4 linked regions of the Arabidopsis thaliana genome follow. The main gene of each other region encodes a partner of the protein of the gene in region 2 in a complex. Each region holds a gene or a part of one and is shown on either strand. Other genes may lie near its edges.

The links.
Region 1: AT3G09180 (region 2) and PFT1 share a complex: the UniProt entries of both Arabidopsis thaliana proteins name them as parts of the mediator complex.
Region 3: AT3G09180 (region 2) and RFR1 share a complex: the UniProt entries of both Arabidopsis thaliana proteins name them as parts of the mediator complex.
Region 4: AT3G09180 (region 2) and MED9 share a complex: the UniProt entries of both Arabidopsis thaliana proteins name them as parts of the mediator complex.

Annotation. Positions count from the first base shown.
Region 1 is NC_003070.9:8,968,812-8,976,599, reverse strand, and holds PFT1 (phytochrome and flowering time regulatory protein (PFT1)), read left to right. Parts: upstream 1-1,784; 5' UTR 1,785-2,153; coding exon 2,154-2,257; intron 2,258-2,762; coding exon 2,763-2,793; intron 2,794-2,985; coding exon 2,986-3,049; intron 3,050-3,170; coding exon 3,171-3,301; intron 3,302-3,505; coding exon 3,506-3,709; intron 3,710-3,801; coding exon 3,802-3,867; intron 3,868-4,010; coding exon 4,011-4,227; intron 4,228-4,343; coding exon 4,344-4,411; intron 4,412-4,710; coding exon 4,711-5,508; intron 5,509-5,583; coding exon 5,584-5,637; intron 5,638-5,783; coding exon 5,784-5,812; intron 5,813-5,944; coding exon 5,945-6,013; intron 6,014-6,108; coding exon 6,109-6,193; intron 6,194-6,534; coding exon 6,535-6,621; intron 6,622-6,704; coding exon 6,705-7,208; 3' UTR 7,209-7,535; downstream 7,536-7,788. UniProt on the Arabidopsis thaliana protein: Component of the Mediator complex, a coactivator involved in the regulated transcription of nearly all RNA polymerase II-dependent genes.
Region 2 is NC_003074.8:2,817,311-2,821,956, reverse strand, and holds AT3G09180 (mediator of RNA polymerase II transcription subunit), read right to left. Parts: upstream 2,864-4,646; 5' UTR 2,680-2,863; coding exon 2,406-2,679; intron 2,312-2,405; coding exon 2,146-2,311; intron 1,974-2,145; coding exon 1,523-1,973; intron 1,433-1,522; coding exon 1,373-1,432; intron 1,290-1,372; coding exon 1,221-1,289; intron 1,128-1,220; coding exon 1,084-1,127; coding exon of another isoform or gene 1,065-1,083; exon of another isoform or gene 1,006-1,064; coding exon 861-1,005; 3' UTR 532-860; downstream 1-531. Other genes in the region: AT3G09190 (Concanavalin A-like lectin family protein), read left to right, coding at 1-307. UniProt on the Arabidopsis thaliana protein: Component of the Mediator complex, a coactivator involved in the regulated transcription of nearly all RNA polymerase II-dependent genes.
Region 3 is NC_003074.8:8,465,464-8,473,429, forward strand, and holds the start of RFR1 (REF4-related 1), read left to right. Parts: upstream 1-1,934; 5' UTR 1,935-2,174; coding exon 2,175-2,449; intron 2,450-2,622; coding exon 2,623-2,733; intron 2,734-2,908; coding exon 2,909-3,253; intron 3,254-3,418; coding exon 3,419-3,738; intron 3,739-3,836; coding exon 3,837-3,928; intron 3,929-4,224; coding exon 4,225-4,537; intron 4,538-4,684; coding exon 4,685-4,895; intron 4,896-5,206; coding exon 5,207-5,321; intron 5,322-5,414; coding exon 5,415-5,576; intron 5,577-5,663; coding exon 5,664-6,321; intron 6,322-6,509; coding exon 6,510-6,716; intron 6,717-6,885; coding exon 6,886-7,966. UniProt on the Arabidopsis thaliana protein: Component of the Mediator complex, a coactivator involved in the regulated transcription of nearly all RNA polymerase II-dependent genes.
Region 4 is NC_003070.9:20,552,387-20,555,873, forward strand, and holds MED9 (mediator of RNA polymerase II transcription subunit-like protein), read right to left. Parts: upstream 1,869-3,487; 5' UTR 1,789-1,868; coding exon 1,315-1,788; intron 1,246-1,314; coding exon 1,183-1,245; intron 1,098-1,182; coding exon 1,017-1,097; coding exon of another isoform or gene 938-1,016; coding exon 879-937; intron 793-878; coding exon 735-792; 3' UTR 519-734; downstream 1-518. Other genes in the region: AT1G55070 (F-box and associated interaction domains-containing protein), read left to right, coding at 1-247; AT1G55090 (carbon-nitrogen hydrolase family protein), read left to right, coding at 2,471-2,664, 2,826-3,131, 3,213-3,436. UniProt on the Arabidopsis thaliana protein: Component of the Mediator complex, a coactivator involved in the regulated transcription of nearly all RNA polymerase II-dependent genes.

The sequences.
Region 1 (7,788 bases), on a different chromosome or scaffold from region 2:
GAAAACATAAATCTTGAGAGAGACAGAGAAGAGTTTTGGATCTAAAATGAGAGAGAAAGGATAAAACTTTGACGTTTTTAAGTTGGAAGTTTTAAAGGGCAGAGAAAGAGGATTGGTGTCTAATCGAGGTCGGGCCGTCGCGTACCTAAAACCGAATCTTCTTGATGTTTAGATTTATTCGGATTTTACTTGGGAAAGGGTAGAATGGTAAATATAGGAATAGGCTGAGGTTTGTTTGATACAGGGAGAATATTCGGGGATATGTGGATTCCTTCCTTTCCATATTCTATCGAGCTGGCGATGATGTCAGCATTCTCATGACGTTGACGTTGAGATAAGAACGACGAGTCATTTTAGTCATTACTAACTCTTTCTTTTTTCTTCGGTTATTCTCTACCTATTTTAGAAATATACACATGAATTTTTTTGTAATAACAAACGAGTGAAGAAGAATATCCATAGAGATTGGAATCAAGATATGTAACCAGAAAATTTTAAACATTCATTAAATTTACAGTTTAGAATATATTATATGGTATCATATCATAAATTACATTTTTATCAGAAAAGAAAAAGATAAAGAAGTTTTTGGCAAAAGTGGAGGAATATTCCTCGAGAGTAGGGGAGAAACTAAGCTGGAAAAAAACATATTAAATTGGAAAAAATTGGGAAGGAGAGAATCTTTGGAAGAGTGACATTCACACATATCCAGATCCCCCCGTTTCCTCATGAATTGTTAAATTTTGGCCCTTCACGCTATCGAAGAGCCACCTGCCCCATATCACACCAACCTACTCGCCTCTTTTCACGCGCTTCATTGTGTGTTGTTGTGTTGTGATATATTCAAGCAATTCTCGTGAATACCTGACGATTCTAAATTGGTTGGCGACAAAAACACACACAAAAAAACACACACTATAAAACGGAATTAAGTGTCTAATTTTGAGTATGTATTCTTGAGAAAATTTCTCTAAATAGTTTGGAGATTGAGGTTTTTGTACTGTCTGCTACGGTTACCAAACTGTAGAAACTATTGTGTATCAATAATTAAATTTGGATTTTTAAGGACAATTGTAAAAGCTTATAACTAGGTGATGGATTGAGTTGTGGTAAAGTCAAATTGTTCGAGAGGTCGTAAACAGTGAGAAGCAATTTAAGGAAGATGATAATTATTCATTTGTGATGGTTTCTTTGAGTTATGGTCTTATGGATAATGTCCATGGATGTGAAGACCACCAACATTGTATTAGATAAAAAAAAACTACCACGTGAAAAGTAGTTGATTTTGGGTTCTCATGACTTCTCACAAACTCACGTTTCCATAGCATTGCATGGCAATTTACAATGTGTTGCCCCTCCCTTAGTACTACCAATACTACCATATGAACAACGATCGGGATCAGCAAAATCTATAGCTTTGTAGCCGTCTTCTATGACTCATCTCTTCCACAAAAAGTCATTGACATCAACTAGTCTAAGATGACTGACATACGAAATTGGATCCTATTTTCCACTAGGCCACTCTGAAAAGAAAAAAACACAGATAAAAAGGCCATGCGGCCCATGTCCAACTTTTGGACCAATCTTAAATGGCCTTCACAATGGTTATCATGGCCTTTATTTGATTCAAGTCTGGACTAACTACAACTATGTATACAAAATGTTTATCCACATAGCCCAAAATAAGATATCAAATTGGTTACTTTCATTTTTTTTTACGTGATCGACCTTAAGCTTGTTGTTAGTTTTGGCGTTCGATGAACCACCTCCAAACCAATTATATTCTTCACAAGATTCTCTGCATTTATCCCACAGATGGTAAACAATCTAATCAAATTAAATTCACTTCTTCACCAAAAAAAATAAAATTAAATTCATTGCCCAATTTACACAAATAAAAAGATAGTAACGACCAAGTCCTTTGTATATCCCATTTTCTATTCGGAGCATCCAAACCAAATTTTGTCAATCTAATTTATCTTCTCCTCTCCCGGAGAAGAAGGAAACTTACAATTTACAAAGAACGAGCTTCAATAAAAATTTCCAAAGAAATTACCGTCGGCGAATCGTTAGGCTCGAGAAGAATCACCAAATTCCAAGGGGAGAGAGACTGAATTTTCTTTTGATTCACGTAACAACAACGCTCAGAGACTATGTCGTCGGAGGTGAAACAGCTGATCGTCGTTGCTGAAGGCACCGCCGCTTTGGGTCCTTATTGGCAAACCATCGTCTCCGACTATCTCGAGAAAATCATCAGGTTTTTCTTTTTATGAACCTTGTATCTCTTTTAATCCTCGTTATTTGATTTTCATTCGGAGTTAGGGTTTAGCTGATACCGTTCGAATCAGGCTTTAATTTCAATTGGTTAGATCAAACCTTTGTTTATCCTCTGATTCCACAATGTTTTGTTGTTCGTTGTTAGTACTGTGTTTATGTATTTGATTGTTCTGTGTTTCATATTGAGCAATCACTTTACGTTACCTTATGGTTCCTACATTCTTTTTTTGTGTTAGGACATTGTTTTCGATACAACGCATTCATAAAGCAATGAATTTGTAGTTTCTCACTTCGATCACGTAAAATTGATATTAATATGTGATTACAGAGAATTTAGTATATAATTGCCTGTATAGTTTGTAACTAATCACATTGTTGGCTATTCTTAATATCCACTCAACATAGTATTGTATTTCAAAGTAGCGTTTTTGTATGTTAAAATTTCAATTACATAATCTGTCTATGCATTCTTTGCATTTGTCCAGGTCTTTCTGTGGCAGTGAGTTAAATGGAGAGGTACTATATCTGACTTATCCTCGTTTTTAAGTTTACTCAAGTTTTCATTCTTGAGCAAACAGTTAATCAATGTTTTTGACCAAACTCATATACATTCGTTATCTGTCAAATCATTGCGACACAAAAAATAACAGAGCAAATTGGTAGTTTGATGTGTCTGATCGAGTCTTTATATATTCACTAAACTTGCAGAGGAACCCTGTTTCTACTGTTGAGCTATCACTGGTGATCTTCAATTCTCATGGTTCATATTGTGGTACGTGTTGTGCTTCATCTTGTGATATCCAAATACAAATATTATTTGGGTGCTTTCTCATGGCCCTGGTTACATTAGCTTTTGTTTTAGTAATGTTGTTCTTATCTTTCATTCTTCTTAGCTTGCTTGGTACAACGGAGTGGCTGGACAAGGGATGTTGATATTTTCTTGCATTGGCTTTCTTCCATACAATTTGGTGGTGGTGGTTTCAATGAGGTTGCCACAGCTGAAGGGCTTGCCGAAGCATTGATGGTGGGAAACTTGATCTCTTTTCATCTGTGACACAACTATAAGACATATGTTTGGGCCACTTTCTTTCAAGCTACTTTTGACTAATTTACTTTCTCAATAAAATTAACTTTTTTCTTTCCATGGCTTCATTTTATGTGGTGGTGCTTCTGTCAGCGATTTTCTCGATCCTTAAACCTCACAATTTTCTCTGACTTCATGACACAGATGTTTTCTCCTCCTTCAGGCCAAGCTCAACCAAGTAACGATCTGAAAAGACACTGTATCCTAATCACAGCCAGCAATCCTCACATATTGCCAACACCTGTATATCGTCCACGATTGCAAAATGTGGAACGGAATGAGAATGGTGATGCGCAAGCTGAGAGTCGATTATCAGATGCTGAGACAGTGGCTTCATATTTTGCTAAGGTACTTTTTTTAACTGATTCCCCCAGGTATTACAACTAGCTATAATTACTCCTTTTAATGGGAAATTACTAACCTGCCATATTGGTGTGCAGTGTTCTGTTTCTTTGTCTGTTGTATGTCCAAAGCAGCTTCCAACAATTAGAGCACTATACAATGCGGTGAGACTGCGTGTCTATTTGCTATTCACTAGATGTACATCTATCAAAAGTCTTTCTTTTGTCAGACAGCTCTTTCAAAGGCTGTCTTTATTCTCAATGCTATAAACTGGTGTAATCTTTGTTTTATACTGTTTTAAATGCAGGGAAAGCCCAATCAACAAAGTGCGGACTTGTCAATTGACACGGCTAAGAACACATTCTATCTTGTCCTGATCTCGGAGAATTTTGTGGAGGCATGTGCTGCCTTAAGTCATTCTGCTACAAATTTGCCACAGACTCAGAGCCCTGTGAAAGTGGACAGGGCCACTGTTGCTCCATCTATTCCAGTCACTGGGCAACCTCCAGCTCCTGTGTCATCAGGTTCTTCTACTGACAACATCCATTTTTCTTAGTCCAACTATCTTGATTTTTCTTTGTGCTTCTTTGGATTCTATCCTGCTTCTCTATATGAAGATCTCTTTTTGTATGATTTTCAGCCAATGGACCTATTCAGAATCGGCAACCAGTTTCTGTTGGACCAGTTCCAACTGCTACTGTGAAAGTTGTAAGTCTATTTGATCTTTTTAGTCAGTTGGAGGAGTCAGCTCTATCTATTGGCAACCGACTCTTGTATGTTTTATAAGAATTATTTACTAGATATTAGCCGAAAATGAATTGTAAATTTATTCTCTGGTGCTTGATAAGACATTACAAATTTTTATGTGTTAATCAACTAGATTTAATGTTAAGTTCATATGAATATCCCATTTGTGAAATAATATTGTATACTCAATCAGCTTATTAGATAGCATATCTTCACATTAGTAGAAGCCTGTTAATCAGATTTTTGGAATGAAATTGCAGGAGCCTAGCACCGTAACTTCTATGGCACCAGTTCCTAGTTTTCCCCATATCCCGGCTGTAGCTCGGCCTGCTACACAAGCAATTCCTTCGATTCAAACATCTTCAGCATCACCAGTTTCTCAGGATATGGTCAGCAACGCCGAGAATGCACCAGATATTAAGCCTGTGGTGGTCAGTGGAATGACGCCACCATTGCGTACTGGTCCTCCTGGTGGAGCCAATGTAAATCTGCTTAATAATCTTTCTCAAGTCCGACAAGTCATGAGCTCTGCAGCTCTGGCAGGTGCAGCCTCATCGGTTGGGCAAAGTGCGGTTGCAATGCATATGTCAAATATGATATCAACAGGAATGGCTACATCTTTGCCTCCTTCACAAACTGTGTTTTCAACTGGACAGCAGGGAATTACTTCAATGGCTGGTTCGGGTGCACTAATGGGATCTGCACAAACGGGACAAAGCCCGGGTCCTAATAATGCCTTTAGTCCTCAAACAACGTCAAATGTCGCTTCAAACCTTGGTGTTTCACAACCAATGCAAGGGATGAACCAAGGAAGTCATTCTGGAGCAATGATGCAAGGTGGAATTTCCATGAACCAAAACATGATGAGTGGTCTTGGTCAAGGAAATGTCTCCTCTGGAACAGGTGGAATGATGCCTACTCCAGGAGTTGGCCAACAAGCGCAATCAGGAATACAACAACTTGGTGGCAGTAACAGCTCAGCTCCTAATATGCAGCTATCACAGCCATCATCGGGGGCTATGCAGACTTCACAATCCAAATATGTGAAAGTCTGGGAGGTAATGTCAGTTTATCTTGTCTAAAATAACGGTGATCTTGTGCTAACTTTTACTTACATTTTCAAATTCATGCAGGGAAATTTATCTGGGCAAAGGCAAGGGCAGCCTGTTCTTATCACCAGACTTGAGGTGTGTTTAGGGGCACTTACTATGCACTTTTCTTTCCCCTTTTCTGAATTTACTGGGATCACATGCTTAAGCACATCTTCCTCTGTAGAACTTTGTTGAATTGTTCCAAGTAGATATTAACTAACGTCTTTGTTTATATTTGACAGGGTTACCGAAGTGCTTCTGCCTCTGATTCGTAAGTTTATAACTAATTGAAATATGAAAACTGCTTCCTTACTAAACCTTGTCAGGAGAGCAGTCGACTCCTTAAGAAATGATTGTAGCTGCTAAACTAATTTTTGCTTTCTCTTTTTGTGCATCTCCCCAGGTTGGCAGCAAACTGGCCACCAACTATGCAGATTGTTCGTCTCATATCCCAGGACCATATGAATAACAAGTAATATCTTCGTGCTATATCCTTCCTTATTCCAAATGGCTCATGGGTGGATGTTGATTTCATGCCACTAAATATTTCACCTGACTTTGCATCAGGCAATATGTTGGCAAAGCTGACTTCCTTGTGTTTCGGGCCATGAGTCAACATGGGTTCTTAGGACAACTTCAGGATAAAAAGCTTGTGAGTATTGTTGATAATTTATGCCACTTGTCTCCTTTTCCTTATTGTTTCACTACAAATTTAATAACAAAATGATGAATGGTGTTTACTGGTTTATTAGATATTAGGATGAATTAGATGTTAAGAATGAAAATCTTTGAAAAAATATATGTACTTACATCTGTAAACATGTTCTCGGTGAATCTATCAATCTCTTGCTATGTTCACCATACACTTAACGATGCCTACGCTTGTATGTAGCCTTGTTTTGATTAGCCTAATCGTGTGCCATACTATTGTCATTTTCACGCTTAGCTTTTGTGGAGTTGTATATGATAACTTTGTCATCCTCCGTATTGCAGTGTGCAGTCATCCAGTTGCCATCACAGACGCTTCTTCTCTCTGTCTCTGACAAGGCTTGCCGCTTGATTGGAATGCTTTTCCCAGGGGTAAGGAAGTACTAAGTTTAAGGTGTCTATATATGTTTTGCTTCACATTAGTGACTCTTGAGGGTTGTTTTGTTTACTCCTAGGATATGGTTGTGTTTAAACCACAAATTCCAAATCAGCAACAGCAGCAGCAACAACAACTCCACCAGCAACAACAACAACAACAGCAGATCCAGCAGCAGCAGCAACAACAACAACACCTCCAACAGCAACAGATGCCACAACTCCAGCAACAACAACAACAACACCAGCAGCAACAGCAACAGCAGCATCAATTGTCACAGCTCCAACATCATCAGCAGCAACAACAACAACAGCAGCAACAACAGCAGCAGCATCAATTGACACAGCTTCAACACCATCATCAGCAGCAGCAGCAGGCGTCGCCGCTGAATCAGATGCAGCAGCAGACTTCGCCGCTCAATCAGATGCAGCAACAGACTTCGCCTCTGAATCAGATGCAGCAGCAACAGCAGCCTCAACAGATGGTAATGGGTGGTCAAGCTTTTGCACAAGCCCCTGGAAGATCACAACAAGGTGGTGGTGGAGGGCAGCCTAACATGCCTGGAGCTGGCTTCATGGGATAAATAAAAATATCAGCTTCAGTGCTAATTAATTAGATTTATCATAACTTAACATTCTTTCTTTCTTCTTTGGTCAACTCGATCGTCGCCATGGTTTTAGACTCTGTTTAGTTGTCCTTTCTGTTCTTTTGAGCCTGAAAATGGCATGTCCTATTCTGTATGGGTCTGACCATTTAGCTACGGCACCAAACTATTTTGTCATTTTCTTAAGATAAATAGAAAAAAAGTGGATGATTTCTATTTTGTTGGTGTTTCTATATGCTGATAATAACTTGTTATCTAGCTTTTTATTTGATTGACAAGGAAATAAAGGATCAAACCCATTTCATAGTTGGGTCATGATTGGACTTTGTGTTTTATTTGCAGGTAAGAAATATACATTTCTATTAGAAAAGGTTTATGGTTGATAGTTAAACAAACTTATCTAAATATACCATTTCCAACTGCATATTGCATCAGAGAATTACTTGCTCAAAATTACATCATTGACAAACTAGGATTTTTTAAATCTTTTAAGTTTAAATTATCATCATAAATCAAATTTCATTTTGAAAACCAAGAAAATAGAAACCCGTAAACCTTA
Region 2 (4,646 bases):
TTTTCTCCATTCATGGAGCTTTGAAATATGGCATCTTGATCCGATATGGGTGCAACCAGCGCCATTAGGACCAAATGAAGGTTTGAAGCCGGACGTTTCCACGGAAATGGAAGAGGGCCGAGAAAATAGTGAGTGTATATGGAGAATGCTTGGTGCTCTGGTCTTGGCTGCAGTATGTGGAGCCGTAGGGGCAATGTCAGCTATGTATCTTTGGACTATTTGCAGTGTTAGGCGGTCAATGGCCGTGGTTCCAGAGGAATGTGCAGTGAGCATTGTGGTCGTTGCAGTTAAAGATGGCAAGAAGTAATGAGAAGTTTGTTTGGCTTTGGCTTTGGTTTAAGAAGGTTGTCTTGTTGTAGTGTAAATGTAGTACCTTCTTCCACTTCCTCTGGTGTTATCTTTATTTAGTGTTTTCTTTTATTTGCTTCGTTAGTTGCAGGTTTCACATGTACAATCTCTATGAAAGAAGCCGTAAGCTTATTTGATCTTGCAAAATAACTTAATTTATTGATCTTGCATTTAACATGTTTTATATTTCTGGATCGGAAGCAAAAATCAACACCCACTGTCTTTTTCTCACTTTGATGCTGACTGCAACAGAGTAATGTGAACCGAGTTAAAAAAAAAGGTCTCTGTTCAGTCATCTCGTGAACAAAGATCAAATCTCTAGAAAGAAGACAACATTCACATGTTACCAGAGAGTAGAAAGAAAGAAAGTTAATCTAAACCTCAACATGGGACATCAACAACAAACAAGAGGTATATCAAGGAGAAGAGCAGATACTAAAGATCCATACAAAATGTTATTAGAACTTATTTCTAACCTTTCTTTTAATTGATCCTCCCTAATCACTAGAGTACTAGGTATCATCTTGAGAGCAACTGGAGTGGTAAGCTTCACAAACGTCCAGGTTTAATGCAAGAGGCAATTCTTGGTAAGCGCGGTGTAAAGGAGGTAAGATTAACGCAGACTTTTTATCCATTGCTAATAGCCTTCCACATTTACTGCATCATCAGAAGAGAAATGAAAAGTTAGTCCACGGGAAACAAATGTATTAGAAGAATTACGGAGAGTCTGCATACGTGCAAGGTTTGCTAAATACGGATTCAAAACTGCATATCCATAGCTGCATAAGAAGAAGAGAAAGGTGTTAATTAACTTCCAGACAAAAAAGGTTCATGTTATCCAGAGACTGAAGTGTGCTTGTAAAATGCTTTACCAGAAGAGAGTAGAGAGCTGTTCCAGTACCAAAGCCGAGGAAATATTGCAAGGCTGTAGCAGCATGTTCCTGCAAGAAAAATCTAATTAATGCAAGTCCCCAATGAATCAAATTTGTTAAACTATATATAATATCAATCGCATCTTTATTACCGTTATGTGTTTGTAAACATGATAAACCGAGAAGCCTCTCGCATGTAAGTAGCTGCCTCCCTGTAAGAAAGGGATGAAGCTAAAACATGAGAACTTAAACAATTTCACATGAGAATCAGTATATTTTAATGCAAGGAGGTTGGAAGTGACCTCATCTGGGGAGAAGAAAGCAACTGCATCTGGATCAACAGAACCCGCTGGACTCAACGAGACTATAGCTCTGAATAGAGAAGGAAATGATAACTCAATAACAGCAATCTTGTCGACAACTTCAGTCTGTAACCCTGATCTCAGCTTGCTAGAACTCTGGAAAATAGGTTTCGATGCTTCTGTAGGATCATCACTACCTGACCCAGGTAAAGAGTTAGCTCTTTTAAGCCAGTTCAATCGTCCATAAGTAGACACCTTCACACTCGGAACCAGCTTCTCTAAACGCGATTGTATATCTGGCAATGTTTTGTAATCAACCGGCTCCTCTCTTCCATTTTCTAATAGCAAATGGGAGGCACGATGTTTTTTTGAGCTTGGTTCCATCTTTAATCCATCATCAATATGAGGGAAGAATCGTCTTTTCTGATCCGTGAAGGCCTTGAGAGCTAACCTACAGTCATTATACACAACGCGAGAAAATGGAGAATGCATGAGATTCAGTAGAATTGGTTAGCTGATGAAACTCCAAGTTGGTACCACCAAGCTTCACTAACAGCCCTAATATGCAGACTCGAACCTAAACCCTAAGTATGCTTTAAAATGATTAGCAACGAATCTGATACCTGGTTCTATCAACAGCAGAAGCACCAGCTTGGCCAGCAAGCTGTCTTTTCCAAGCATAAGCAACGACTGCACCATCTGGACAAACCAAAGGCATGTGAAGACCCCAAGAGTTACTTCTTGACCTAAGTGATTCAGTTAACACTCCAGATTCTTCCAATTTCTTCCCTGAACCAAGCAATAAACATTGATCGATCCTTAAAAGCCCTAATCTAGAGAATCAATCAATACTAATGAAAATGATTCAGTTTTGGTTCAGCACCTATTAAGCGAAGATCCTGAAGATGTTGACGCATGGAGGCGTCTTCTCTGAGAAAGAGCTGAAGAGGCATGTCTGTGTGACGAGGTTGCGAAGCCACGAACATAGCTTCAAGGATACGGTCAGCGCCGAGGCGGATATCGGCGATAACCCTAGCCGCTTGATTGAGTCGTTCCATGGCCTGAGCCACCTGTTTCGGCGGCGCGTCCGATTCAGACTGATTGTTCGCCGCCTCGGCCGGATTCTGGAGAAGTTGGGACTGGTGTAGCGTCTGCATAAGCTGTGATTCAAGCACACTCTTTCGATTTCAATGAAATTGATCTTCTTGACGACGACGGAAGGAGAGGAATGTTTCTGGACTCGGAGAATTTCACGTTCAAATCTCAATCTACTGTAACGCCAGACGCAATTTTGTAGCGTTTGCGTTTCAAAGGCGTTTTTGTTGATATGCTTGCTTCTGCTCCTTCACGTCTTATTTTGTTTAATTTATTCCACTCTGTTAAATTGAGTTTTACTCCATTAAGCAATGCTTTATGGCTCATGTTGGACTGAAAATGTATTTTGTAATCTCAATGTTTGTGGGACTTTTAGTTTTTAGCCCATATGTACAGTTTGTTCACTTTAATATTTTTTTTTTTTTAGTTTGTACATGTAAAAAAATGGGAAATTTGCAAATATAGCCAACAAAAAAATTATAATTGCAAAACTAACACTTCAACCAATATGTATTGAACTTTATGCAATATTGACAAACTTAACCCGTGCGTGAGCACACGCGCTTATTCTTCTTCTTCTGAGTTTTCAATCGATAACTTCTATGTATTACTCTGTAAAAATTCAAATAGAGGTGAACATTCAGAGAAGTTACAGTAAGAAAATCTGAAAATTCTGGGCTTTAAAAAGCGACACCCGGGAAAGTTTCGAAGAGCAGACTGCGTGTGCAATCCGAGTGACGATTCTAGAGTTTACGAAGATTGAATTTGTGGGTTTCGATTTGGGGACTGTGGAGGCTTCGATTTCTGGCAATCGGACTGCATAAATCTTCTGCAATTGGAGGAGGAGCCTATCTAAGCATCCGAGTTTCGTACAACACTTATGTTGGCTCTTTTCTCAATCGAGGGTTTTTGATTCCGTTGAGAGTACTTGAGTGAGTTTTGTTGTACGGGAGTAGAGGTGTTTATATCTCCGTCGTCTCCACTGTAACACTCGAATTTCTGTGGCAATTGGTGTCGGCGAAGGGATTCAGCCAAATTAAGGTATGAAATGCCATTTTTTGGCTTTTGGGAAAATCTTTTTAATTTGTGTTGAAGAGCTTGAATAGCATAAACTCGGATTTGAGTAGCTTTAGGTAGGGAATCTGCTTGGTTAATACGATATTCATTTGTAATTGTTATGAAGGTTTAGGATTTAACTCTACTTCAATGTAATCCATTTGTGTTTGTTGATAGTAACGGAAGCTACTCAAATTGGTTGTATGTGTTAATGACATTTTTAGTTTTATTTGCAGTATTGAATAGCATAAACTCGGATTTGAGTAGCTTTAGTTAGTGAATCTTTGCTGGTTAATCCGATATTCCACTAATTGGTGTTATGAAGGTTTAATATTTAACTCAACTTCTATGTAATCCATTTGTTGTTGTTGATAGTAACGGAAAGCTGAGGCTATATTGGTTGAGTCTGTTAATAACATATATTTACATCTAAGATTTATATATTTTGTATTTGTGTAAGTAGCAGCATCAAAAAAGTGATACGTGGACATTTGTATTTCAGTGTATCTGTTCCATGGGGGATGTAGAGTTGCCAAAGCGTTTGTTTCGGCTAGGTTCTGAACCTGAGGGCCGAAAGAGGATAAACAATTACTTTACTCTTAGGTGGATTGAGATCATCAAGGCTGCTCTAGATCAAAACCATTTGAAGCAGCTGGAGGGTTCGCAGTTTGGATTTCTGTTGCAAATGGGGACGCATCAGTTTTCTGTAATGTTCTTACATTACATTCTATCTAGGCAGTTGGTGACAGATAAGAAGTATGAAATGTGGTGGGTGTTTGCAGGGAAGCCAATTCGATTTGCCATTGATGATTTTGCACTTGTTACCGGGCTTAACTGCAGCAAATCTGGATTCAACAAAAAGGATGCAAGGACAAGAGGGAAAATGAAAGCGGTTCAGAATCCTACGAGGTTCTACAAGGCATTATTTGGGAAAGAGAGAAAGCCTACTTCACAATGGATTGTTGGGAAGCTA
Region 3 (7,966 bases), 5.6 Mb from region 2:
CATTAATCGTGTTCTTCAATTCACCAACTTCGTAGGTTCCGCATCTTTTGTACTTTCTTTCTATTTTTAATCTTGCAATATCAAAAATAAATATATACACCTTTTAAAAAAATTCTGAATATGCATATGGTAATGGTATCATCAGAAAACATTGAATATTGAATCGTCTATCTACCAATCTCTTCAAGTTGTGAATTTTATTTATCAAAAAAAAAAAAAAAATCAACTGAAACGTCAATGTTATGTTTTGCTTCAATCTAAAGAAAGTTGTACCAAAAATAAAGTACTTTTTTACCAAGAAATTTCGGATTGTAGCCAAAATATGTCTTGTTTTATTTTTTTTGTTCACCAAAAATATGTTAAACTAGTTTTTTGACTTTTTCCCCCATGCGTTGTTGTTGTTATTCGGACGACCAATATTTAATACAGTATTCAAGTGTAGCTAAGCTACTGATTCCAGATAAAGTAAAAAAATGTCTTTGATACCAACTTCACTTTGACCAATTATCGAACTCTTTAATTTCATAATATATAGCTTTGACAAATATCCCATCAGAATTCATAAATCGCCACATGAATCTTATAATTGTCAACTATGTGCAGTCCAATATTAATATCATGGAAAACTAGATTACTAGCATTTAATTTCTTAATTGTATTTAGGTTATAGACTTAACATGGTTTTTCTTCTAGAGCATTTTCACTACATTTTTTTCTTTCTATGTTATTATTTTATGTTTTACTTATTGTTACATCCATTTACAACGATGTTGGATAAAATATTTTTAACTGTTCAGTCCGTAAATGACTAGCTAAATTTTTACGGATATATTTTTACATAAAAAAAGAAATTATTTTTACGATTTACCAATTTAACTCTTCTTTCTCTCTAAGTTTTCATTTATTAAAAATGATAGTTTTTTTAAGAAAGTTATTTGTATTTATTTATTTAAAATTGGATGCAAAAAATTACAAAACTTGGAAGAAATATTGTTAACCCATCTTTATCAGTATAGAATTTCTGATTACTCCCTGCGTTGAAAATAAGAAGATCCATAGAACGTGGTAATGTTTTTTTTTTTTTTTTTCTGGCAAGAAATGGTAATGTTAATCAATTAGACTCATGACTAAAGCTGGAAAATTTGACTAAAATGGTATTATCTTGCATTATTACCTAAAAGCTCTTCTTGCATTACTCTTTCATGCAAAATTGCCTCCAAAAGTCATACTTCGAAATCATGGCTTTGTAACTCACCCTTGCCACCATCTATCTAAACTTATTATTGTTTAAAACAAAATTGATTTTCAAAGAAAAAAAAAATATAAACTCCCACCGGTCAATAACTTTTAATTTTCACTTCAATTATTCATAAAATAAATATATACACCTTGATTCTTTCTTAATAACTGGAGTTATTTTGAATTTAAATTACTTTTGAAATACAAAAGAAAGTAAGATAATTTTGCCATTTAAAATGTCTACAACAATTATGTTAACACTTAACATACATTTTTAGAACCAAATGGTAATGGTCCACTAGTTAAAAGATTTCTTATGAATGTCTTTTTATGCAGAGTTCGAATTTTCTCACAACGATTTTAACCATTTTCGTCACTCGCAAAATTTTTAGTGGATAACAAAAAAAAAAAAAAGTTGAAATTTAATGGAAATTTAGGAGATTTGTCCAATTTTTAATTTTCCCGATTAATTTAAAAAATCTACTTTACGCCTTTTATTGACAAAGATGCATATTAACTATATATATATATATATATATATATATATATATATATATATATTATAAACTAAATTTTGTAGAACCCATCAGAAGAAATTTGTACTTTTAACTTTAAAATCAATTAAAAAATTTCAATTCAAATAAAAAAAAATCCAAAATTGTTTATAAATTCAAGAAATATAACACACAAGTTGACATAAACAGTGGAGAGATTTGTGAAATGTGAACTCTTTTGACGTCTTTCTCATATTTCGTCTCGGGACAATTCACACGCACTGAATCATCTCTCTCACGAGGACTATTCAGCCATTTGCAAACGCACACACAAACGCACACGCGTTTATTTTTTTTTCGCCAAATCAAATCTGAAGAGTTCCTGTATCTTTTAACCGCTCTTCTTCTTCTTCAGAGAGCTTCGTTGATTGAACGGAAAAAATGGTGGTTCCTGGACGGAGAACCGTCTGGGATTGTGTGATTGAGCTGACAAAGATGGCTCAAGAGAACTGTGTCGATCCTCGTCTTTGGGCTTCTCAGTTATCATCGAATTTGAAATTCTTCGCCGTGGAGTTACCGTCGACGGAGCTTGCGGAGGTTATTGTTTCGTACATTTGTTGGGATAATAACGTTCCTATTGTTTGGAAGTTTCTTGAAAGAGCTATGGCTTTGAAGCTTGTTTCTCCTCTCGTTGTTCTTGCTCTTCTCGCTGACAGGTCTGGATTCATCGCTCATGGATTGTTTCCTTAGGGTTCTATGTGTTGATGATTTATTTCGTAATTTGGATTGTGAGTTGGTGAATTATAGTTTGGAAAATCTCTACGATTTTGTGATGGATCTTAGATTTGGTTTTATCTTATTGTAGTTCTATGTTTTCTGATTGTTGCAGAGTTGTTCCAACCCGGTCTACGCAACAAGCAGCTTATAGAATTTACTTGGAGCTGCTCAAGAGAAATATGTTCACCATTAAAGATCATATTAGTGGACCTCACTACCAGAAGTGAGTTTTTTTTTGTTGATACTTCTTACTTACTGTTTCATTCAAATGCTTGGCTCTGTAGGAAAAATGTTAGTAAATGTATGTTTCCATTAACATTGTACTCAGAAGTAGAATTAGAGAATACAAAATACTGTTTTGGCTTACTTGGTATTTATCTTCCTTCTTCTTTGTACAGGGTCATGATTTCAGTATCCAATATTCTTCGTCTTTCAGAGTTATTTGATCTGGACACAAGCAAACCTGGTGTGCTTTTAGTAGAGTTTGTTTTTAAGATGGTGTCACAATTGCTAGATGCAGCGTTAAGTGATGAAGGTTTGCTAGAGCTAAGCCAAGACTCGAGCTCCCAGTGGCTAGTTAAGTCTCAAGATATGGAAATTGATGCTCCTGAGAGATATAATGAAAAGACTGGATCACTAGAGAAGTTACAGAGTTTGAATACCATCATGGCTATTGAGTTGATAGCGGAATTCCTCAGAAATACAGTGATTGCGAGATTGCTATACTTGGTATCTTCCAACAGGTATGCATCATAGTTAACGAGAGTAAAGTTTTTTCAGTGGCATCATAGTTATGTTGTTCTTTGCATTGGCAGATATTTTGCTTAATCATGACCTGAATTTGACAAGTAATGTCTCTGTAGTAAAGTGTTTTTCTTTTAATCCATTTGCTATCCATTTCTTTTCAGGGCTTCGAAGTGGCATGAATTTGTCCAGAAAGTGCAGCTTCTTGGAGAAAATTCATCGGCTTTAAAACACTCAAAGGTTCTAAATTCTGGGGATCTATTACAATTGATTTCGAATAGACGATTTGGGTATTCTTATGATAGCAAAGTAACTTCAGCACGGAAATCCAATGCAATTGTGGATTTTGGATCTCTCTCTTCCTATGCTGGCTTATGCCATGGAGCAAGTCTCTCTTCACTTTGGCTTCCTCTTGATCTAGTATTTGAAGATGCAATGGATGGATATCAAGTAAACCCAACTAGTGCGATTGAAATCATTACCGGTAATTTGTAGACTCCATCTTCTTTCACTTGTGGCTTTGACCAAAGAAAAGATATCTCAAATATATAACGAAATGACTTGGGAGTATTAAATTTTCAGGTCTAGCTAAAACACTTAAAGAAATTAATGGGAGCACTTGGCATGACACTTTCTTGGGGCTTTGGATAGCAGCTCTCCGACTTGTTCAAAGGGTTAGATTACTCTCTTACTGATCTTTCTGTTTGTGATTTCACCACTACTTTGGTACCCAGAAAAGTGCAATTGCTATTGCTTGCAAGTTTTACTTACACCGTGTGCTTTTGTAATTGGTTCTGTTATTTGGTTATAATTCCCAAGACTTTTGTTACCTGCAGTTTCAGAGGACTTTCTTACACACTTTCTCTTGACTGAAGCTGTACTATTTGATTGTTACTCTGTCATCCATGATAAGTTTAGATTTTCCGTATCTAATGGCTGTTCTGATTTTCTCGTTTTTCTTTATTACTAGGAAAGGGATCCTATTGAGGGACCTATTCCTCGACTGGACACAAGGCTGTGCATGTCATTATGTATTGTGCCTCTTGTGGTCGCAAACCTTATTGAAGAGGGGAAATACGAATCTGTCATGGAAAAGCTGCGAGATGACCTTGTTACAAGTTTGCAGGTCCTCGGTGATTTCCCTGGATTGCTGGCTCCTCCCAAATGCGTTGTTTCTGCTGCCAACAAGGCTGCCACAAAGGCAATCTTGTTTTTGTCTGGTGGCAATGTTGGAAAGTCATGTTTTGATGTCATAAACATGAAGGACATGCCTGTCAACTGCTGTAAGTTTAATAAAATTTCGCTCTATTGAATTGAAGTTAAACCAATTTGTTTGTCTTCGTATTCTTCATTATTGTCGCTTGATTGTCTTCATTTGTTGATTTTATGGGCCTCTTTCGTGCCTAACATACTTTATGTACATGCCGTAGCTGGAAACATGCGCCACCTGATAGTCGAGGCTTGTATTGCAAGAAACATACTGGATATGTCGGCTTATTCGTGGCCTGGCTATGTTAATGGCCGAATCAACCAAATACCTCAGAGTCTGCCGAATGAAGTACCCTGCTGGTCATCATTTGTGAAAGGGGCTCCACTAAATGCCGCAATGGTGAATACATTAGTTTCAGTTCCTGCTTCAAGGTAGAATGAGTTATTATCTTCTTTTTGTTTCTTTTTGCTCTATTAGCTCCACACTACTTCATCCACATAGTCTTCCCTCCAAATCATACAGTCAGTGGTAATTTAAAATTACTATACAAAATTAAGCTACGGAGTTTCAAAGTCGTAACCTAAGGAAACCATTGCCACAATGAGAATAGTGGTTGCATTCTAGTTTGACTTAAGTTCTGCTTCTTCTTCAGTTATTCCTTTTTGTTTCTTAGCCAGGTAATGCTCTTTTTTTAATTTACCGAGAGTAAAGCAACTGAAATACCTCATGGATTTGATGGAAGCTTAGCAGAGCTCGAGAAACTATTTGAGGTTGCAGTCAAAGGATCGGATGACGAGAAGATATCTGCTGCTACAGTTCTTTGCGGGGCATCTCTCACACGGGGTTGGAACATACAGGTTGGCATTAAATCCACTAATCAGAATCTCCACCAGTGAGAATTTTCGGTTGAACAGACATGTTTGATTTATCTATCTTTCTTCGATGTACAGGAACACACTGTTGAATATCTTACAAGATTACTATCCCCACCCGTTCCAGCAGATTATTCCAGGGCTGAAAATCATTTGATTGGTTATGCCTGCATGTTGAATGTTGTTATTGTTGGGATAGGATCTGTTGACAGCATTCAAATTTTCTCTTTACATGGCATGGTATGTAAATTGTACTTCCAAGTTTACTAGACTTAATAGTGAATTTGCTGAAAGATGTAATGTACGATTTTGATGGCTACTTTTTAGGTTCCGCAACTTGCTTGCTCACTAATGCCAATTTGTGAAGAGTTTGGATCTTACACCCCGAGTGTATCATGGACTCTTCCTTCTGGAGAAGCAATATCAGCATATTCTGTTTTCTCAAATGCATTCACTCTTCTTTTAAAGCTATGGAGATTCAATCATCCTCCTATTGAGCATGGTGTGGGAGATGTTCCCACAGTTGGCTCCCAACTCACTCCTGAACATCTTCTTTCAGTGCGTAATTCTTATCTTGTTTCGTCGGAGATCCTTGATAGAGACCGAAACAGAAAGAGACTTTCAGAAGTTGCAAGGGCAGCATCTTGCCAGCCCGTGTTTGTGGACTCGTTCCCCAAGCTGAAAGTCTGGTATAGGCAGCACCAAAGATGCATAGCAGCCACATTATCTGGACTTACACATGGATCTCCCGTTCATCAGACAGTTGAAGCACTTCTCAACATGACGTTCGGAAAGGTCAGAGGCAGTCAGACTTTAAATCCAGTAAATTCGGGCACAAGCAGTTCATCAGGAGCTGCAAGTGAAGATAGCAATATTAGACCTGAGTTTCCTGCTTGGGATATCCTCAAAGCCGTTCCATATGTTGTCGATGCTGCTTTAACCGCTTGTACTCATGGAAGGCTTTCGCCTCGTCAGTTAGCTACAGGTTTGTTTTGTTTTGCTGGATCAGATTCCTAATTGTGTTGTCATGTGCGATAACATCCGTCTATATGACCTTTGGCAACTCTGAATGCCAATGAGAGATGTTTGACTGTGTTGATCAGTTGTTATATCAGATGCATTTCTTACAGTAAAGTGAATTTATTTACAGAATAACAAGTGTTTTTCTTTCAGGGCTGAAAGACTTAGCAGATTTTCTCCCGGCATCATTAGCAACGATAGTAAGCTATTTCTCAGCTGAGGTGAGTAGAGGTGTTTGGAAGCCAGTATTCATGAACGGCGTGGATTGGCCAAGTCCAGCTACAAATCTATCCACTGTTGAGGAATATATAACGAAAATTCTTGCAACAACAGGCGTCGATATCCCTAGCCTTGCTCCAGGTAAAACTATTCAACGTGTTTAAAATGCCAGTCTGTTTGTTTGGCTTACCATCTCTGTAGTCTGTACCATCCTCTCTTTATAATAAGCTTTTTACCTGTCCTGATTTGATGTGTTAAAGTTAAAGTTGTCTTTTGAACTTATGGTTGACTTCTTGCTGTGGTATTGCAGGAGGGAGTTCTCCGGCAACGCTTCCTTTACCTCTAGCCGCATTTGTTAGTCTAACCATTACTTACAAAATTGACAAAGCCTCAGAGCGGTTTCTCAACCTGGCTGGCCCAGCTCTGGAGTGCTTGGCTGCAGGCTGCCCTTGGCCTTGCATGCCCATTGTAGCTTCATTATGGACCCAAAAGGCGAAACGTTGGTTTGACTTCCTTGTTTTCTCTGCCTCTCGCACCGTCTTCCTTCACAACCAAGACGCTGTGATTCAGCTCCTCAGAAACTGCTTCAGTGCCACTCTGGGTTTGAATGCTGCCCCCATGTCAAATGATGGTGGCGTTGGAGCTCTTCTTGGCCATGGATTCGGCTCTCATTTCTATGGAGGGATCTCTCCTGTAGCACCAGGGATTCTTTATCTCCGTATGTATCGTGCTCTCAGAGATACTGTCTCCGTATCGGAAGAGATTCTCTCTCTGCTGATACATTCGGTGGAGGATATAGCCCAGAACAGGCTCTCAAAGGAGAAGCTGGAAAAGCTGAAGACAGTGAAGAACGGATCAAGATACGGCCAAAGTTCTCTAGCAACAGCAATGACTCAAGTGAAGCTTGCTGCTTCGCTGAGTGCCTCGTTGGTATGGCTAACCGGTGGCTTAGGTGTGGTCCACGTTCTCATCAAAGAAACGATCCCATCTTGGTTTCTATCAACTGACAAATCAGACCGAGAACAAGGACCATCGGATCTAGTTGCAGAGCTAAGAGGTCATGCCCTTGCCTACTTTGTGGTCCTATGTGGAGCACTTACTTGGGGCGTGGATTCAAGATCATCTGCATCCAAACGCCGCCGCCAAGCAATCTTGGGAAGCCACTTGGAGTTCATCGCGAGTGCCTTAGATGGGAAAATATCAGTGGGATGTGAAACAGCAACTTGGCGAACATATATTTCCGGTTTGGTGAGTCTAATGGTGAGCTGTTTGCCGCTCTGGGTGACAGAGATCGATACAGAAGTGTTAAAGAGTCTAAGCAATGGACTAAGAAAATGGGGAAAAGACGAGCTAGCGATTGTATTACTCTCCTTGGGAGGTCTCAAAACAAT
Region 4 (3,487 bases), on a different chromosome or scaffold from region 2:
CTACGTAAAGCCCCTTCAATGGCCGGAGTTCAATGGAATTGATGTAAACTTTTTAGTTACTAGTAAAGGTGAAGCTGTATTCTGCCCAAATCACTATGATCCACAAGTTCCTTTTTACCTTTATTACTACAATCTCGAGGAGAACATTGTGGTAAGAGTAAGAGTTGAAGTTCCAGAATCTCAAGGTTCTAAACGGGTTTTGTTTCATGCTGTTCCAAACTATCTAGAGAATATGAAGCTTACGTGAGTGTTTTATTGGGTTTTTTTTTTACCTGTTTAAGACTATTATCATGATTTCAAAATAGTGAGTAGGGATAGATTAGAAGTCGGTGTTTTTATTTCTTTTTAAAAGACTAATAGATGTGGCTTCAATGGTGTTTTGTTTTATATTTGGAGGATCATTGTGGAATAATGGTTGAATTTTCCATGGTCGCTACAATGCTTTTTCTACTCTGTTCTGAATCTAAATCACAAAACCACTCACTATGTTCAACAACTACCTGGGCTTATATCGTTTTTGGGTTGAGCTTTCTGTTGCATGTCCCACATACAAAGATTTTGGTTTGGTTTGATGCAGACAAAACACATTATGCATTGTGATCTATTTGTAATCCGAAGAATGAATTTTCTTGAAGAAAACCACATTCTCTTTATTATGTGAATCAAGATTGGTTTATTGATAACAATTATTGGTCTTAAGTAGCTAAACAGTTGCTGAATCAAAATATGAGAAACTAATGCTCCATTGTCACAATCTCTTCAATAGATTTCCTATACTCCACAATCAAATCCCTGACCAGAAGACATTTAACAACAAAAGAGTAAGAGCACGATCACAATCTGATCAGATAAAACATGATACTAACAATCTAGCTAACCTTCTCTGTTGAAGCAATTGCTCACTTTCTTCAACATTTCTCTTTTGGCCATCAACAGTCTATAAAACACAGAGAGAGAGAGAGATCCATAAGAAACAAAAGATTAAACAGAACCAATACAGAGATCCAAAATGTTACCATAGTTTTAGATCCTAGTGATCCTGAAATCGAATTCAGCAACTGTTGACACTTGTCGAAATGGCTATTCAATTCATTCACCTGCAAATCCCACAATTTCAACATCATCCAATAAGAAACCCTAGAAATCTCAAAACCACTTTAAAAGACTTGATTTTTAACAAACCAGGGCGTCAGAATTCTGATCTCGTGTTCCATTTTCGATCACATCAGCTAATTTCTCCACCATCTGCGTCATTAACACGAAATTAGAACCCCCAACGATTCCAATTTCATCAATTTTCTTTGTTTCTCTTACCGGATAGAGATGGAAATGAGAAGCTAAAGACTGATGCTGTTGAGGAGTCTGCACCGGAGTTTGAACCAACTGTTGTTGTTGCTGCGGTGTATGCATCATAGATTGAGGCGTGTGAACCATCGTCTGTTGCGGCGGAGGTGATTGTAACGACTGTGGCTGAAGAGGAGGAGATTGTAACAACCGTTGTTGTTGTTGGAATTGCTGTTGTTGGATGAAGTGTTGCTGTTGTTGGAATTGCTGATATTGTTGCATCTCTTGTTGTTGTTGTGGCTGGAATTGTTGTTGTTGCTGCTGCGTCTGTTGTTGTTGTTGAAGATGAAACTGTTGTTGTTGTTGTTGTTGTTGTTGTTGTTGTAATTGTTGTTGCTGGAGGAATAGTTGCTGGTCATGATTCGTCGGTGTACCGAAGTTACCTTGCGCCTGCACGTTTGGGATCATCGACCAATTACCTCCTCCTCCTGAGAATTGATCCATTTTTTCTCCTTCCGATCTCGCTAATTCTCCTTCTCGTCGCCGTCGTCGTCTATTAAAACTTAAAAGAACGAAGAAGAGACAAAAGTGGGAACTTAAACGATGTCGTGTTTTGACCAAAAAAAAAAAAAAATGATGTCGTGTCATGATAAAACGAAGTTGTTCTCAGTTAAGGTTTTGTTTGTAATTTACAATCGTAAAACGCCGTCGTTTCAGTATCAATCTCTTCTTCTTCTTCTTCCTCTCAAACCGAATGTTCTTCTTGGTCGGTCACAATCTGTTCTGCACGAGCACTGCACAATCACTTGGAGTCTGTGAATTTCACATCTGAAAGAAATACAAACTCCCATAGTTTTCAATTTTCACGATCTCCGAATTTCACGACTTTGATACTTGGTTTCTTTGCACATTCACGTAAGCTCCAATTCTTCCTTCTCTTCTTTTGGCAATTGATTCACATCGAATAGTGTTGCGTTGACGAGTTCTTCGTTACAGATATTGTGTATTATGGCTGTTAAAATTGAATTTGAATTGTTAGTATTAGCAAAGTAATACAAAGTTTGTTCCTTTAACTAATTTAACCAGCTTCTGTTCTCATGAACAAGTTTGTGCCTTAGATAAGTCAGATTTTTTACACTACTTGATGTACAGTAAATTTACTTGTCTTTCTCTTTAGGCGACGAAGATGAGGCTGTTGAAGGTTGCTACGTGTAACTTGAACCAATGGGCCATGGATTTCGAGAGCAACATGAAGAACATCAAGGCTTCGATCGCTGAGGCAAAGGCTGCTGGTGCTGTTATCAGGCTTGGACCCGAGCTCGAGGTCACTGGCTATGGTTGCGAGGATCACTTCTTGGAACTCGACACTGTCACTCATGCGTAAGCTTCTATTTTTAGTTTTCTATTTCGATGATGAATGGCATGAATGACTTGGTACTATCACTTTAGATGATGGAATTAATTTCTTTTTCTTCTGAATTTAGTTATCGGAATCATGTTTAACCGTTTCTTCTTATGTTCATGTGAATATCTTCTTTCAGGTGGGAGTGTTTGAAGGAATTGCTGCTTGGTGATTGGACGGATGATATTTTGTGCAGCATAGGAATGCCTGTGATTAAAGGAGCAGAGCGTTATAACTGCCAGGTTCTCTGTATGAACAGAAGAATCATCATGATTCGACCGAAAATGTGGCTCGCAAACGATGGAAACTATAGGGAGCTACGGTGGTTCACAGCTTGGAAGCAGAGAGAAGAGCTAGAGGAATTTCAGCTCCCCATTGAAATTTCAGAGGCTTTGGAGCAGAAATCAGTCCCTTTTGGTTATGGTTACATCCAGTTTATCGACACGTGAGTTTGGATAAATGCTTCCATTTCAACACTGTCAATGATTTTGTCTGCTTAACTGTATCAGTTATATTTCCTTATCAGGGCTGTTGCAGCTGAAGTCTGTGAGGAACTGTTTAGTCCACTTCCTCCTCATGCCGAGCTCGCATTGAATGGTGTTGAAGTATTTATGAATGCAAGTGGGAGTCATCACCAACTTAGGAAACTAGATATTCGTCTGAATGCTTTTATGGGGGCTACTCATGCTCGTGGTGGGGTGTATATGTACAGTAATCAACAAGGATGCGATGGTAGCCGCTTATACTACGGTATGTTTGACAACCCTTAAAATTATTGAAAGTATCATTTTTGAGTAAATC